Linked DNA regions of Arabidopsis thaliana. The protein of the gene in region 1 interacts with the protein of each later gene in a pairwise test. Each region holds a gene or a part of one and is shown on either strand. Other genes may lie near its edges. The genes, in order: KRP6 and CYCD1;1.

Region 1 (4,212 bases):
CTTCCCGGTTTTGTTTATCATTAGTATTTTGGGTTGTAGTTTCTCTCGTTTTCAATGTTTTCCAACATTTCTATTTAATTGTTACTCGAGCTTGTAAATTACTAATTAAACAAAAAAATAGAAGATGATATAATAATTTAAAAATAAATGTGGAAACAGAAGCACGTGGCTGTGTCTGCTATGTAAGACATGGTAAAAAAAAAGCCTCAAAGGAGAAATATAATCCCAACGGAACCATGCAATGATGAGATTAACCTTTTTTAATGCGTTACCAAAAAGCTAATCCACGTAAATATATCCTATGTAATCGTTTTTATATAGTATCACTCATTGATGATATTTTGTTACAGTAACACACTTCATTAGGATAAATTACTACTCCGCATAGGCCGCTTTTTGGTTTTATCTAATGAAGGCCAAAATGGTTTTAACTAAGTGGACCCTGTGTTTAGTGCCAAAATAGAGGAATATTCCAAAATAAAATAAAAGAATATTAGTGAAAAAAATAGAAAAAATATAATATTTGTATTTTGTATGATCGCAGTTTTTAGAGAAGTACAAACCAACTGTATTACTGTGCCGTCATGTCATGTACCTTTCCTCTTTTCTCCAATTTTTTTTTTAAAACATCAATTTTTGGTTTCAGATATTTTTGTAAATTGGGTACTATATGACATGAAACATTTAAATATAACATAAACTGCAAGTGTAAGAATAAGAATGACATGAGACAAACAAAAAATAATAGTTTTGAGTAAGATAAAATAATTGTAATAATTAAGCATCCAATGTTTTAAAAGAATCCAAACAAGAAGCACCTTTCTATATTCATGCACTTAAAACTCTGCCAAAACCATTTTTGATTTTAAAACAGAAACATAACAAACCAACGAAATCACCGTAATTAGTAGCCAAGATCCGAAATTTCATTATAAAGGTCGTGTTTTTTGTTTTGTTTTGTACGAACTAGTAACATAGGTTTTTAAAGAGAAATAGACTAGAGCTGTACAAGTGGAAATGTTAACCACGAAAAACAAAACCTATTTTTCTTTTGTCTTCTTCATGGATGGTATTTGCTTTTTGATGGCTTAAAGTCGATCCCACTTGTAGCGACCTTCAAGCGGTTCGTCATTGACAATATCGAAGTTGTACCTGTGCCAAAGTGTGTGTGTTCGTTAGGATTCTGATTCTCTCTCTTTTTAGGATATTTGCTAAACTACGCGTCGGTTAATCTTTTTATCATGCGCACGCAGACATTTTTACTCACATTCCTCTCTCTCTCTCTCTAGGTACGGACTCACTCCAATTTTTCCCAAACCCCAAAAAGCAAAGCGCACACAACAACAACAAGAACACACGTGAGAGAGATGATGAAATTGTAAAAATGGACTCACTTTTCTATGAATTGCTTCTTCTTATCGTCTTGACTCTCTAGCTCCGAGAACAAATCCTCAATCTCCGCCGCCGTTGGAGTCTTCCTCACCCCCGGTTGTTTTCTCTTCGTTGCCGATGATGATTCCATTTCTGTTGTCGTTTCTCCCAAACCCTCACTCACTGGACTCGTCTCTTTTCTGCCATAAAAAACAGAGAAAAAATCGCCAAGGAGAATAAAATCGATTGAACGTCTAATTTGGGGGGGGGGGGAAACAAAAAGATTATGAACCTGAAATTGCTGGTGATGAATGTTGAGGTTTCGGTTTCGGTTTCGATTTGATGATCCTGAAACACAGAAACGGAAATAAAAAATCAAAACGAAAACTGAGAAAATCGTCTGATTAAATCGATTCAAGTAGAGAGGAGTTATTTGATTTTGAAAATTCACCTCCAGATCTACACCAAACGACGAACTGTTCTTCGCGATTTCTTTCGATTCACTGGTGAAACAACCGGAGCTGATACTCGAGGACTGATCACTTTCTTCTCCACCGATGGTAACGGAACATTCATCAGACGCTAAAGCCGCCGACGAAGCAACGGAAGAAGATGAAACCGCGAAGACGATGACGTCATGAGAGTCCGGTGATGAATCAGAAGAATCATTAAGCTTCGTTTTCTTCAGTGGTGAGAAGCTTGTGCTTGAAGCTTCTTCTGCAAGCTCTCGCTTTCTCTCGCTCATTTTTTTCTCTCTTGGATTTTTGTGTGCTCTCTCTCTCTGCTTTTTTTTCTTTCTATTTCTGGTTCGCTTCTTAACAAAGCAGAGGAGATTTTGGTGGGGAAGGAGAGAGAATGAATCATGAGCCGTTGATTATTTCAACGGTTGAGATTTTATTTTCCTTGGTGAGCGGACGGAGGTTATGGTATATAACGGCGCCGTTACGGAGTTTCGCTTTTATTTTCTTACACAAACGCCGTTGAGATTCCCAAACGCGTTTTCTCTCCCTTTTTGCCGTTTTTGCCTTTTTGGCTTCCTTTCAAAGCAATTGAAAACGCAATCATTTTCGGTAGTTATGACGTAGTAGCAACGTAACAGTAGTCATTATTTTTTCTTAAAACGATTTAAAGTATGAGTAAACCACAACTCTATTTAATTCGATTTGTTTAGGAACAAGTCTTATTTGGTCAGGGTCTATGAGAACCATCGAACAAGTCTTTTCTCGTAATTGGGTTTTATATTTTATGAGAATCAATTAAAAGCTAAAACCAATGATGTGACATATATCGAGGGTATATATATGAATGGTTGAGGTGTGAATAGAGATTTGTCAAATTAGCTTGATCCCTTCCATTGTACGCGTTTTATCATGGTTTTGAGATGGATATGTTAACATCCAGAACATAGTGTTGAAATCTTTTAATGTTAAAACTATCACGTAATTAAGGTTAATCAACCTTTTTTGAAAAACAATTAGTTCATAAACTTACTTAGATGGTCAAATATCATAAGCAATTAGACAAACTATTCCTTACAATATTTCAAATGAAGATACTAGCTATAATTACACAACAGAAGATACATGGTTAACCAATTTATAAAATACTTAGAAAAGAATTGTGGTGGTCGGAACAATAAATTAGAGATACCTATAGCAGAAGATACATCGATTAACTACATTCTATAAAATCATCTGTACTATTATATATGTTTGTCGGAACATGTCTAGAAGCGCCTCGTTAATTTACGTTTAAAACAATACTATAATTTTGTTACATAGTCAATTTTGTAAGAACCTACATCTTATAAACCAATTATACAACTTTTTGGTTCGTATCATCACCAAGACCATGAAATCAATGACGAATCAAATAATGCTTGAATCTGGAAAGGGAATAACAGTTTGGGGTTTGCTTAGTAGAAACATCAATTATGTCATATAGAGACTAACTCAGCTTAAGTCTAATTAATCTCTTGTTTATGCTTAGTTGTCTTTTTGAAAGTTTCCATGCATGTGTAAGTTTCTTCCACTGATCAGATACACATCAACAACAGATTTTGTCCTCTATGTCATTTTAATGACATATGTATTATGAAATAATGTACATGTGTTAAAACCATAATATAGCACCATAGAGAATGAGCCATTAAAGCTCAACTAAACTGTCCGTACAGTTAAAACCAATTGTAAACAACTAAACTCAATTCTCGTCTTAAAGAGCCCATATATGTATATATATATACAAAATGGCCAGAACGGTTTACAAATTTAAGCATATACTATAATTAAATTTTAGTGTAACTACTTCTTTATTCTTCCAATAAATGGGACCATTTTCAATAAATTTTAGTAATAAAAGGAATCATCGAGTAATAATTAAGTGACTGATGCAACAACGAATTCGCTGACCTAGGCATTTATTTAGGAATTATTAAGACAAATCAAGAGGGAATGATATAATTCAAAATAATTTATTCAGTGACCATTGTAATCCATATGATCATATATAGTCCTGAATAGGGTCGTCCTAAACTTTTAAAAAAATTGATAGAACTTTTCAATAAAAATTTCGCCTATCATTTCAAATCTTTTCTCATTTGTATGAATATATAATAACACTATCAATCAATAATCAAATATTTTTTTGTTACATTGTTGATTAGCTAGTTAGAAAAATGTAAAGATAAGTTGATTTTGTATGTTAAGATAGTTTCTATGTCACTTCCTACTATTAATTTGTATGTTAAGATAATTTTTTACTATGTAGAAAACTCTATGTCAAGATTAAAATAATTTTGACTGCCAAGAAAATTTTGATTGCAATACTTAGATATAAAAA
Region 2 (5,862 bases), on another chromosome or scaffold:
TTCATTATATTTCTAGTAACTCAACATGGACTCATGATCATCATTGTATATAACAAAAAAAAATGCATTATTATGATTACATATGCAAGAGTATATCAATAGGGTCCGAGTTGACTATGCTACAGGAGAACGAAAAAAAACATTTCTTAACGAGTAGTATCAATTAATGTGACGATGATAGTATAAGATCATGTCTAGTGATATCATACGTACCATATAATTAGATCTGAAATAACCATTCAACAACGATCATTGACTATAAGGCAATAGCTCCCATGAATCGTCTTGATTTTCTTTAAGAAAATAAGACATTAACAAAAATGACGAACCCTACCACGAGAATGTAGTCAGTCTGATAAATTGTTGTAGGTTGGGAGGTGCATATTTTCCCTCCTTTCAAATTTCAGTTTCTTGACTTCATTAATGTTAATATAAATAAACATATACTGCATGATAAAAATGTTAATTTAACTGTAAATGTGAATGCAAATCTGAATGTAAGCCATATGTTTTAAATATTGTCTACCTAAACAGAGAAATGAATTAGTAGCCCAACCTAGCCATAACAAATAAATAATGAAGAAGGTCTTCTTCCGCCGAAGATACCAAAAATATATTATCTTCTATTTCAAAAAGTATCCCATTTGTTTCTAATTTCTATGGTACAATGTAGTTGTTGAATTGTAATTTTCTCAATGTTAATTTCGTTATCTACGTAAGCATTGTCAACTATTTACATAGTACATACAAGTGATAGTTATATATTAGCTCTTCCATAATTTTTAATTCTTATCAATATGAAAATATTGACAAATTTATACAAATCTGCATAGAAAACACATACAAAACAAATATGAAACAATGTTAAAAAAAAAAAAAAATATGAAACATTTTTTCTAATACACCTGAAAACTAAAATAAGGGGTAAATATATTAGAGGTAAGCGAAAAATCTACTACAATCTAAACCGAGATCATCCCAATGGTATAATTAAAGTCTAAAATCTAAATCGAAGGAGCAAAGTATTTTGTAAGGCACACGTGAAAGAAAGTAACTACGGGAGTGATTAATAAAAACGGGCCAATGATTTAACACTTTTATGGCATAATTAAACCAAGAAGGGACCAAATAAATATGACATATTGATACAAAAAGGAATGTGAAGAAAATCTCCGGTTCTACGAAAAGGACTTCCACTACTCTTTCCCACACGCTCCAGACCACTGTTTGCTTTCCTCTGATTAACCAATCTCAATTAAACTACTAATTTATAATTCAAGATAATTAGATAACCAATCTTAAAATTTGGAATCTTCTTCCCTCACTTGATATTACAAAAAAAAAACTGATTTATCATACGGTTAATTCAAGAAAACAGCAAAAAAATTGCACTATAATGCAAAACATCAATTAATTACATTCGATTAAAAAATCATCATTGAATCTAAAATGGCCTCAAATCTATTGAGCATTTGTCATGTGCCTAAAATGGTTCAGGAGTTTTACATCTAATCACATAAAAAGCAAACAATAACCAAAAAAATTGCATTTTAGCAAATCAAATACTTATATATATACGTATGATTAAGCGTCATGACTTTAAAACCTCTGTAAAATTTTGATTTATTTTTCGATGCTTTTATTTTTTAACCAATAGTAATAAAGTCCAAATCTTAAATACGAAAAAATGTTTCTTTCTAAGCGACCAACAAAATGGTCCAAATCACAGAAAATGTTCCATAATCCAGGCCCATTAAGCTAATCACCAAGTAATACATTACACGTCACCAATTAATACATTACACGTACGGCCTTCTCTCTTCACGAGTAATATGCAAACAAACGTACATTAGCTGTAATGTACTCACTCATGCAACGTCTTAACCTGCCACGTATTACGTAATTACACCACTCCTTGTTCCTAACCTACGCATTTCACTTTAGCGCATGTTAGTCAAAAAACACAAACATAAACTACAAATAAAAAAACTCAAAACAAAACCCAATGAACGAACGGACCAGCCCCGTCTCGATTGATGGAACAGTGACAACAGTCCCGTTTTCTCGGGCATAACGGAAACGGTAACCGTCTCTCTGTTTCATTTGCAACAACACCATTTTTATAAATAAAAACACATTTAAATAAAAAATTATTAAAACCTCAAAAAATCTCTGTTTCTTGTTTATATATCCAAACAAATGAATGTGTTAAACCTTCACTCTTCTCTCCACACAAAATTCAAAAACCTCACATTTCACTTCTCTCTTCTCGCTTCTTCTAGATCTCACCGGTTTATCTAGCTCCGGTTTGATTCATCTCCGGTTATGGGGAGAGAATGAGGAGTTACCGTTTTAGTGATTATCTACACATGTCTGTTTCATTCTCTAACGATATGGATTTGTTTTGTGGAGAAGACTCCGGTGTGTTTTCCGGTGAGTCAACGGTTGATTTCTCGTCTTCCGAGGTTGATTCATGGCCTGGTGATTCTATCGCTTGTTTTATCGAAGACGAGCGTCACTTCGTTCCTGGACATGATTATCTCTCTAGATTTCAAACTCGATCTCTCGATGCTTCCGCTAGAGAAGATTCCGTCGCATGGATTCTCAAGGCGAGCCTATTCACTTTTTTTCTCTACCTCTCATTTTTTTCAATGCTAAAATACGCCGCCGGAGAGTGTGTAGACGCTAAAATACGCTGATCGAATCGTTACATGCAGAGAATCTTTTTTTTTACAGTAGTGTGGTATTGTTTGGTTTACAGGTACAAGCGTATTATAACTTTCAGCCTTTAACGGCGTACCTCGCCGTTAACTATATGGATCGGTTTCTTTACGCTCGTCGATTACCGGTAAATGTTTTAAAAACGTCAACGTTAGTTAATTCTATTGTCTCTGTTTTTTTATTATATTGATATGACAAATAACAACCCCAAAAAGTCAGTTTTATTTCCCTTTTTTTTTTTCAATGGATCGATTTGTTTATTGACTTTTCTTCAGAAAAAAATGAAAACGACTAAAAATTTATTAGAGCAAAAAATTATAATCGGTATAGAATAATTTAGTAGAAATTAATCTTATATTGGAATGTACGTAAACGATAGAACAGGAGCGGGCTGGGGAACTTTTTTTCGTTTTTTAATTATTTTATTGAAATTTATATTTTCGATAAAAAATTACATTGACGTTTACATAATAATAGTATACTTTTGCAGTAAACTTTCCACTTCATATATCGGCTTTATTGAAAACTTTGTAATCATAGTGTTAAAACGCTCCTACTACTATATAATATTTTAAATTAATTTTGTAATTAAACTTAATAGAGTATATAGTAATCAATGATTATATTAATCAGCTTTAATTTCTGTAAAATAGGAAACGAGTGGTTGGCCAATGCAACTTTTAGCAGTGGCATGCTTGTCTTTAGCTGCAAAGATGGAGGAAATTCTCGTTCCTTCTCTTTTTGATTTTCAGGTAAACATATATTATCATTCTTTCTTTAACATTCTGAATTTACTCTGTTTTTTTAAGAAACTTTAATTTATGTATCTCTGTATAATGTAATGTAGGTTGCAGGAGTGAAGTATTTATTTGAAGCAAAAACTATAAAAAGAATGGAACTTCTTGTTCTAAGTGTGTTAGATTGGAGACTAAGATCGGTTACACCGTTTGATTTCATTAGCTTCTTTGCTTACAAGATCGATCCTTCGGGTACCTTTCTCGGGTTCTTTATCTCCCATGCTACAGAGATTATACTCTCCAACATAAAAGGTACGTAATATTTGTATGATATATGATCCATAATGTCATTTAGGTAGCACATTTTTGGGTTGGTTCTAACACATGACCAATTAGTACAGAAGCGAGCTTTCTTGAGTACTGGCCATCGAGTATAGCTGCAGCCGCGATTCTCTGTGTAGCGAACGAGTTACCTTCTCTATCCTCTGTTGTCAATCCCCACGAGAGCCCTGAGACTTGGTGTGACGGATTGAGCAAAGTAGGATTTGTTATATCACGTTTAGATGGAACAAGGGAGTAACAGATTGCTAATTAATGTCTTTTGGTTATATTTGACTTTCAGGAGAAGATAGTGAGATGCTATAGACTGATGAAAGCGATGGCCATCGAGAATAACCGGTTAAATACACCAAAAGTGATAGCAAAGCTTCGAGTGAGTGTAAGGGCATCATCGACGTTAACAAGGCCAAGTGATGAATCCTCTTTCTCATCCTCTTCTCCTTGTAAAAGGAGAAAATTAAGTGGCTATTCATGGGTAGGTGATGAAACATCTACCTCTAATTAAAATTTGGGGAGTGAAAGTAGAGGACCAAGGAAACAAAACCTAGAAGAAAAAAAACCCTCTTCTGTTTAAGTAGAGTATATTTTTTAACAAGTACATAGTAATAAGGGAGTGATGAAGAAAAGTAAAAGTGTTTATTGGCTGAGTTAAAGTAATTAAGAGTTTTCCAACCAAGGGGAAGGAATAAGAGTTTTGGTTACAATTTCTTTTATGGAAAGGGTAAAAATTGGGTTTTGGGGTTGGTTGGTTGGTTGGGAGAGACGAAGCTCATCATTAATGGCTTTGCAGATTCCCAAGAAAGCAAAATGAGTAAGTGAGTGTAACACACACGTGTTAGAGAAAAGATATGATCATGTGAGTGTGTGTGTGTGAGAGAGAGAGAGAAGAGTATTTGCATTAGAGTCCTCATCACACAGGTACTGATGGATAAGACAGGGGAGCGTTTGCAAAAGATTTGTGAGTGGAGATTTTTCTGAGCTCTTTGTCTTAATGGATCGCAGCAGTTCATGGGACCCTTCCTCAGCTTCATCATCAAACAAAAAAAAAATCAAGTTGCGAAGTATATATAATTTGTTTTTTTGTTTGGATTTTTAAGATTTTTGATTCCTTGTGTGTGACTTCACGTGACGGAGGCGTGTGTCTCACGTGTTTGTTTTCTCTTCAAATCTTTTATTTTGGCGGGAAATTTTGTGTTTTTGATTTCTACGTATTCGTGGACTCCAAATGAGTTTTGTCACGGTGCGTTTTAGTAGCGTTTGCATGCGTGTAAGGTGTCACGTATGTGTATATATATGATTTTTTTTTGGTTTCTTGAAAGGTTGAATTTTATAAATAAAACGTTTCTATTATATGAAGGAAAAAGTACATTGAACTCAATAATGGTCGTGGAGAAGGTTAATAGCTACGTGAGAGGATAATATGAGTAGTGGTGAGATTTGATTTTGGTGTGGCCTGTGGGAGCACGAAGCATGTGAACATGTGTGTTGTGGATCGAGTGTATGTTTTATTGAACGACGAACGTAAAAAGACAAAAGAAAATTGTATTTGTTTAAGACCAAAAGAAAAAAAAAAGTATTTAATGTTCAAAATGTAATAACCTTCCTCATTTTTGCCATAATTAAACACATTTCTTTGTTTTTGTTTTTTTGGGCAAAAGATTAAGGGTTTTATATACCTATTTTAACAACAGTAAATATACAAAAGAAAATCAAATTATGAAAAAAACAAATTACAAAAGAAGTAAAAAATAGTGGTTAATTTCTCTCTTGATTTTAGTAAAGAGGAACAATTAATAGGAGCAGTAGCATACATGTGATGTTGATCTGTCTCCATGTCAGAGAAAGTGGTCTCACCACGAAACCATAACGTAGCTACACCGTTCTATCTCTCTCGAACCCCTCAAACATTAGCCACACAAAAATACCATCTTTGACTATCCATTTATATATGTATGCACACGATTTTACAAGTAAAAAAGGAAATAAGAAGTGAAAGAAAAAGAAAAAAACTTACTGCAAAACAAAACATTTTACAAAAGTGTGTTTTAATCTTATAACTAAGTTG

The links.
Region 2: the proteins of KRP6 (region 1) and CYCD1;1 interact in a two-hybrid assay, tested with the Arabidopsis thaliana proteins (2 studies listed by BioGRID, with this or other methods).

The regions. Positions count from the first base shown.
Region 1 is NC_003074.8:6,615,540-6,619,751, forward strand, and holds KRP6 (KIP-related protein 6), read right to left. Parts: upstream 2,413-4,212; 5' UTR 2,117-2,412; coding exon 1,823-2,116; intron 1,720-1,822; coding exon 1,664-1,719; coding exon of another isoform or gene 1,572-1,663; coding exon 1,395-1,571; coding exon of another isoform or gene 1,391-1,394; exon of another isoform or gene 1,153-1,390; coding exon 1,089-1,152; 3' UTR 791-1,088; downstream 1-790. UniProt on the Arabidopsis thaliana protein: Binds and inhibits CYCD2-1/CDKA-1 complex kinase activity. Regulates cell division which is crucial for plant growth, development and morphogenesis. May inhibit CDK kinases specifically involved in the G1/S phase transition.
Region 2 is NC_003070.9:26,437,679-26,443,540, forward strand, and holds CYCD1;1 (CYCLIN D1;1), read left to right. Parts: upstream 1-1,877; 5' UTR 1,878-1,974; coding exon of another isoform or gene 1,975-2,118; 5' UTR 2,119-2,336; coding exon 2,337-2,609; intron 2,610-2,761; coding exon 2,762-2,848; intron 2,849-3,374; coding exon 3,375-3,473; intron 3,474-3,568; coding exon 3,569-3,770; intron 3,771-3,859; coding exon 3,860-3,996; intron 3,997-4,080; coding exon 4,081-4,302; 3' UTR 4,303-5,329; downstream 5,330-5,862. Other genes in the region: AT1G70209 (uncharacterized protein), read right to left, coding at 1,975-2,118. UniProt on the Arabidopsis thaliana protein: May activate cell cycle in the root apical meristem (RAM) and promote embryonic root (radicle) protrusion.